Saccharomyces cerevisiae S288C: one gene and its partner. Changing the gene in region 2 together with the main gene of any one other region gives a genetic interaction. Each region holds a gene or a part of one and is shown on either strand. Other genes may lie near its edges. The genes, in order: TRM82 and SMM1.

The links.
Region 1: mutations in SMM1 (region 2) and TRM82 impair growth when combined (synthetic growth defect), as found in Saccharomyces cerevisiae (one study listed by BioGRID).

What each region holds. Positions count from the first base shown.
Region 1 is NC_001136.10:783,051-786,705, reverse strand, and holds TRM82 (Trm82p), read right to left. Parts: upstream 1,836-3,655; coding exon 501-1,835; downstream 1-500. Other genes in the region: exocyst subunit SEC5, read left to right, coding at 1-400; SEC1 (Sec1p), read left to right, coding at 2,491-3,655. UniProt on the Saccharomyces cerevisiae protein: Required for the formation of N(7)-methylguanine at position 46 (m7G46) in tRNA, a modification required to maintain stability of tRNAs; its absence resulting in tRNA decay.
Region 2 is NC_001146.8:651,706-655,584, reverse strand, and holds SMM1 (tRNA-dihydrouridine(20) synthase (NAD(+))), read right to left. Parts: upstream 2,199-3,879; coding exon 1,044-2,198; downstream 1-1,043. Other genes in the region: acetyl-CoA carboxylase ACC1, read left to right, coding at 1-912; YNR014W (uncharacterized protein), read right to left, coding at 2,482-3,120; PHO91 (Pho91p), read left to right, coding at 3,873-3,879. UniProt on the Saccharomyces cerevisiae protein: Catalyzes the NADPH-dependent synthesis of dihydrouridine, a modified base found in the D-loop of most tRNAs. Specifically modifies U20 in cytoplasmic tRNAs. Also able to mediate dihydrouridylation of some mRNAs, thereby affecting their translation.

The DNA of each region.
Region 1 (3,655 bases), on a different chromosome or scaffold from region 2:
GTATACATCAAATTCATTCAGGGTTGGTGACTATATTATAGAAGCGTTAATGATTCTGATCGTGGTTCACAGTGAGTGCTTTAGAATTGGGCCTCAGCTCATCCATAAGATTTTAATTGAAACGCAGATTTTTATAGCCAGATACCTCTTTGAGGCATTTAAGCCTTATGTTGGTAATCTTTCTAATGATGGCTCATTACAAATTATAGTGGATTTGGAATTCTTTCAGAAGGTTATGGGTCCTTTACTTGAAAAGGACACCGAGGCCACATTAAGGGCGTGCTTACAAAACTGTTTCCAGAACGACACAAATAGACTACAAAAATGTATCAATGAGATTAATCCTATTGTATCTGCCAATTTAAAAAGAACTGCTATTCAATTCGCCGCCTTCAGCTAGAAACAGAGGTATAAAGATGTACTAACAATGATTATTAACACAAATCGGTACGTATCTTTTTTTATATTAGTTATAAAGATGTACTTACTACCTTTTTATTTCACGAGTAATGTTCTCCATGTTTTCTTAACGAGGAAACATTGTATAACGGGTAAATTTCTTCTTTCTTGGTCACCAAGTTAGAATCCCCTTGTACTGATTGTATGATGGCACTGTCAAATTCGTTTGATTTTTCATTATTCACGACAAAACTATTCTCATTTAAGTTATATTCAATGAATTTGGCAAAATTTTTTTGCACACCAGATGATTCCTTATTATCTAGGGTGACTTGGAATTCATCATTATGGGCGGATAATGAGATAACATTATATGGAAAAGTTATAATTTGCTTTAGTGCAAGATCCCCTTTTTGTTTTTCGGACATTTCCAGAATTATTATGCATTTTGTAGCTTCGACGAAAAACGCAACAAACGGTAGGTTCTTTGACTTTATAATTTTACTAACTGCAAATTCAATAATATCATTATTTTCATTTTGAAATCTTGGTGGTGCTAAATGCTGATCATTCAAATAAGGTTTAATCAAACTATTATAATCGAAGGTAGACAAGTTCTTACCAGTTTTCCAATCCCAAGCGAAGATTTTATCGTCACCACCTGCACTTAATAATAAATAGTCTTTGCCACAGCATATGGAAGAAACAAAATGCTTATGACCAAAGAGCCATTTGTCCACAATGAAACATTGGGGATAATGCGAAATTTTAATATGCTCATCTCTATCACTTGTAATTATGAATTGATGACCGTCAGAGTCTTTAATCAAGTGTACATCAGTCAACATAGAGACATGACCGAGAATAGGTTCTTGAGTAAACTTTTCTTCCGGGATAGAATTAATATCAATAGAATATACATCACCAAATTTGTCAGCTATTATGACTGTAGTATCATCTTCGGCTATAGAAATAGCATTCGGTCTCTTTGAGAAGCAGAACCTTTTTCTCAACTTTAAGACATTTTTGGAAGTTTTGTCGACATCGAAAACTAGGAGGGACTTGTCAGAATCTGCGCACGCAATTAGTCTTGATTCATCCGAAGTTAATCTCAGATTTCTTATGTACGAATATATCGGTGGGGCGCCAAGACCTGGAGATGGTACCTTGGCTGCTGTCCTTTTAATGGAATCGCCTTTATTACTTTTCAATTTTTTGTTCTCGTTTTCGTTTTCGCTGGATTGTCCTTGTTGCTCCTTAGCAGTGGTGTTTCTCGATTCTTGAATTTTGTCGAAATCATCAGACCATTTTCCAGCAAATTCCCAATGATTTGGCGATTGATATTTGAAGCTTAAGATACAATTCTTAATGATGGCGAAAACTAATGAGCCATCACGAGAGGTGAGTAAATTCTGCAAAGGATGAATGACGCTCATTGTAAAACACGCGGACTGCTTCAAATTGACAAACCTTGCTATACTTTAGCTGCTAATATATCATCAATACGCCTTTACTAGTAAAAAATTTTTTCATCTCATCGATTTTTTTCACCTCGCCATTTTTTTCGCTGATTAAAAGAAATGTATCTGAGATAAGTGCCATATTTAATGACAGCAGCGTAAAATAAGAATATGTAACGATACAATAAGAAAACTATGTTTATGTGTCACCTCTTGCTTGCGTCTTGGGAAAAGCATTCCCAATAACAGAATACTAAACCGGATGTAGTAGCCCTCTTAGTTTTTCTATCTAACATGTCCATCCTCCTGGATCAAAATATCAGTAATCTTGTATTCCTTACTTGCGATACAGCTATTATTACAGGCACTCTTTAAAAATCATCGAATAGCCGATCGACTACACACTTATCCCTATAACATGGTGTAAGTGATAGAGAGGTGAATGGCGGCGTCGTCTTATGTTCTCGCAATTATTGGTAGATGGTCACACAGCACGGTGTTTTTCTTTTGCTTAAACGATCAGTTTAAGTCCCTATTGAAACTAGTAAGACATTGCTTTGTAAGACCTTGAAAATAATTAGAATCCACTGACAAAGTAGAAGAGTGTGCACATGCTTGGTTTGGCGGAACGATGTCTGATTTAATTGAATTACAGAGGAACTATTTGATAGGGGTTTTGAATCAGATTGAGACGAAAAATAACTTGAAGTTTCTTATTATCGATAAAACTGTGGAGACAATATTGAGTTATCTTTTCCTCACACCCCAAGAACTTTTAAATAATGTCACATCTGTTGATTTGATTGATTCCCCAACAAGAAAAGGACAATCCTCCATCGAGGCAATTTACATATTGGAACCAACGAAATATAACATCAATTGTATCGATGCTGACTTCATGGTAAGACCACCTAAGTACAGAAGATGTCACATCAGATTTTTACCAGGATTAACAAACCCTATATTTCAGTTTTTTCAATCAAAACGTTACATTGCTCAAAATTTGGAGTCATTTAAGCCGATCGAACTAGGGTTTTTCGTCAAAGAATCTCAATTCTTCGAAACTTTACAAATGGAACACTCATTACAGGTTTTTTTCAACAACAACTGTAAGGCTTTGATTCCTACTAACGTGAGGAAGATTGTAGGCTCACTAGTTAGTTTGTGTGTTATTACGGGGGAATATCCGATTGTTAGATATTCTGTATCTAATCCTGTGGAAGAGGAAGATGCCCGCAATGGAAACGCCGTAGTCAACGCAAATTCTTTAACAAGGTCTATTGCAAACGCTTTCCAAATAGCGATAGATACATACGCTCGCAATAATCCAGATTTCCCTCCTCAAAACACTGAAAGACCGCGTTCCATTCTAATAATCACCGATAGAACACTGGACCCTTTTGCGCCAATATTACATGATTTTAGCTATCAAGCAATGGCTTATGACCTGGTAGCTAATGTGGACACACAAAAAGATATATATCATTATTCTGCCGAGAATGAAGCTGGTGAGCAAGAGGAAAAGGTTTCAAAATTGGTAGATTTGTATGATCCTGACTGGATTGATTTGAAACATCAGCATATTATGGATGCCAACGAATATATTCAAGGAAGAATCAAGGAACTGATTGCTAAAAACCCTCTGCTGGTTGATAGATCGAACGTAAAGAATACTACCGATCTGCTGAGTGTCGTAGCGCACCTGAAAGATTTTGATGAAGAAAGAAGAAGGCTGATTTTGCATAAGACACTGGTAGATGAATGCCTAGGAGAGAACGCGGAAAGAAAATTAGCGG
Region 2 (3,879 bases):
AAGACTGCTCAAGCTATCAATGACTTTAACAACGGTGAACAATTGCCAATGATGATTTTGGCCAACTGGAGAGGTTTCTCTGGTGGTCAACGTGATATGTTCAACGAAGTCTTGAAGTATGGTTCGTTTATTGTTGACGCATTGGTGGATTACAAACAACCAATTATTATCTATATCCCACCTACCGGTGAACTAAGAGGTGGTTCATGGGTTGTTGTCGATCCAACTATCAACGCTGACCAAATGGAAATGTATGCCGACGTCAACGCTAGAGCTGGTGTTTTGGAACCACAAGGTATGGTTGGTATCAAGTTCCGTAGAGAAAAATTGCTGGACACCATGAACAGATTGGATGACAAGTACAGAGAATTGAGATCTCAATTATCCAACAAGAGTTTGGCTCCAGAAGTACATCAGCAAATATCCAAGCAATTAGCTGATCGTGAGAGAGAACTATTGCCAATTTACGGACAAATCAGTCTTCAATTTGCTGATTTGCACGATAGGTCTTCACGTATGGTGGCCAAGGGTGTTATTTCTAAGGAACTGGAATGGACCGAGGCACGTCGTTTCTTCTTCTGGAGATTGAGAAGAAGATTGAACGAAGAATATTTGATTAAAAGGTTGAGCCATCAGGTAGGCGAAGCATCAAGATTAGAAAAGATCGCAAGAATTAGATCGTGGTACCCTGCTTCAGTGGACCATGAAGATGATAGGCAAGTCGCAACATGGATTGAAGAAAACTACAAAACTTTGGACGATAAACTAAAGGGTTTGAAATTAGAGTCATTCGCTCAAGACTTAGCTAAAAAGATCAGAAGCGACCATGACAATGCTATTGATGGATTATCTGAAGTTATCAAGATGTTATCTACCGATGATAAAGAAAAATTGTTGAAGACTTTGAAATAAACCTTGTAAAGTAAAAAAAAAAAATAGTATTGATGTAATTTAATTTAGTTGCTAATATAAATTAGAAAATACATACATATATATATTATGCGCGTTTTCTTTCATAATCCGTTCTTTTTACTTAGAATATATTATATATCTGTGGGAAGGGGTACAACCTTTTGCTTTTTAGTGTCACTGCCTATGTGATCGGTCTGTTTCCTCTTTTGCTTGGCGATGGCGTTGGCGTTTTTCAAAGCTTTTTCTTGAGCTCTGCAGTTTTCCAAGTACTCTGAAGGATCTGTTTGAGCGCTTCCATCATCGTTCAATTGCTTTAGTACGAAACTAACTTCTTCCGGGCTCTTGCAACGGGCAAAGTACTGAAAAAAGACTGATTTTCCGGGGACAATTCTGCTTAACATGTATTTTGTATTGCCGATGTGGTTGTCAAACTTCGTTGCCCACTGAATAAACTCGCGACAAGCAACGACCCAAGATGGACCGTCTTCTGAAGGCTTAGAAGTGTGATCAAAAACTGTAGGGTCCCGTTCAGCACACTCTGCAATCATACCACCAATGTTAGTGTTTTTCCAATGATTCGCTTGTAAATCATGAAAATGAGAGCGGTCGCGGATAGCGCCGTTCACAATCAACGACACGTTATTTGCCTGGCATATCTCGTAGATCTCCGCAATGTAATCTGTGATGGGCTGCTCTCTGTTTCTCATTTCAGTCTTCCTGCAGTGAACTGTAAGATTTGTGATGCCCGTGGCACACAGACGTTTGACGAGCTGTAGAGTGTCTTGCTTGGTGTCCAAGAGTCTTATTTTCACACTGATGGGTTTGCTGTGAGGGTTACCCACGTTCTTAACCAGTTCTTTCAAGATGAGACACAGTGTGTCTGGGGTGCGCAAGAGGGCAGAGCCCATGCCGGAGTGTATAGAGAAGTGTTTGGGGCAGCCTGCATTGATATCTATCCCGCTGACGTCGTTGATCACTTTCAAAGCAGCCTGGGTGGCCAGAGCCGGGGATGCAGACCCGATCTGGAAAATCAATTTAGAGGATTCTAGTTTTGGATATGTTCTGAAAACGAGCGTCTCCGGCCTCGTTTGAACCTTGGACGGCACGACGTAGTCGACAGTTTGGAGTGCAGTGTTTTCCTTCCTGACGCACTGAATTAGCTTTTTGTCGATGATTTCTGGGGACCAGACGAGATCTGCACCGTGGGCCAGCGCCATCAGTCTCGTGGGCAGTTCGCCGGCTCTTACCATTGGAGCTAGAACCAGTTTTCCAGCATATGTAACCATGATCTCTGTGTGACTGCGCTATTTGGTGTGGCTTGGATGGATGAAATAGCAAAAGTTTTTCAAGACGGTTTTCATTTTTTCTTCGAGCGAAGTGATGAGCAAAGTAGAGGAAATGGAAAGCGGCAAAAAATGCATTGTCGATTTTAGTAATGAATATATAAAACGACGGAAATATATATATACATGGCTGCGTAGACCACGCAGAACTGTATATGTATGTATGTATAGAGGAGGGATGGGAAATGCTGTGTGACGATAGACAGATGGATGGACGAATGGATAACTACGTCTCTAGTCTCTCATACAATGGTTTGTCAAACTTGACGGCGACCGAGTTTCTTCTGTGGTGATGTCTGTTGCAAGGACAAGACGGGTCTGAGTGGTCGTTAGGAGACGCGGATGTTTGCGGCTCCTGTTGGTCACTGATGGGGAACATCATGCTATGCTGGGCGTACGAGACGGACCTTTTCATCTCGGACGACGAGCGATTATCGAAGGAGGGCAGTTGTGGCTCACTGGCCCTTCTTTGAAAGTTTTTGTGATGCGCGCATTGGTGGAAGTCGCTTGCCGGCAATACAGAGTTGCGCCTAGAAGAGGGCAGTAGTGACGGCGAGGTTGGGTCAGAAGTCAAGCACGAGGCTGCGGTGTAGTTACTCTTGAACAATGAGGGCCGCGTAGGGTCTGCTACAACGGGAGCGGAAACATTAAGTACAGTCTCGACGATTTCATTGTCAGTTGATAAAGCAGGCGGTAAGCCGACGGAGCTGCCTCTGGGGGAGCAGGCTTTAGATGTAGCAGAGGAGCAGGAGCTGCTGCTGCTGCTCCTGCTGCTGCTTCTGTCCGCGATCGACTTGTAGTGGAAGGTGATGTGAGCGGAAACAGGGATGTTCACGGCACAAGGCTTGATATCCGTGGACGACATGGAACGTTTATTAGTTATATTTTTCGAGAAAAAATCTGAAACTTGCAGATCATTAGTTTACGCTTCGGATGTACACACACATACCTATATACATATATACATACACATATATATACATTTGTGTGCTCGTATGCGTACTGTTTTGCACTGGGCTGATTCGAGAAAGTCAAAAAGCTTAACTGGCCAGAAAAAGAAATTAAAACGGCACCGAGGGGTCGAAACCTTCCGTTTCTGCGAAGGCCCTTTGTTCTTTTGCTTTTGATCCGAAATGAGGGGCGGCGAGAGGTAAGGGGTAGAGGGGCTGGAACTCTCGCTGATGTTCTGAGCGAGGTGTTCAGGTGGGCCTATCCGCCTTAATCACTCCGGCGTGGGGAAAGAAAGCAGAGAGCGAGCAGAGAGCGAGCAGAGAGTGGGTGATGTCAGAGAACGATAATCCTGATGGGGGGTGGAACTTTATTACCCTACTTGAATTTTTTTATTTTGGTAGGGTAACTTTTATTCCCTTGAAAAAAATACTTCTGGTTACCCGGATCCGTTTTTTTTCGGGGATCCACGTGATGGCTTTTTGATCAGGACTAATTTTAAAACTGAAAAAAAAAAAAAAAAATTGAGTATGTCTTGCATGTATGAAAATTGATAAGTAACTAGGAAAAATGCCGCTCAAAATCTTAGTAAAAATAACTTCTTTTCTTTTTTTACTTAGTCAAATAAAAAGAAAACTGTGAAGGTGACACGGTAACTTGCAGACTGACATGAAGT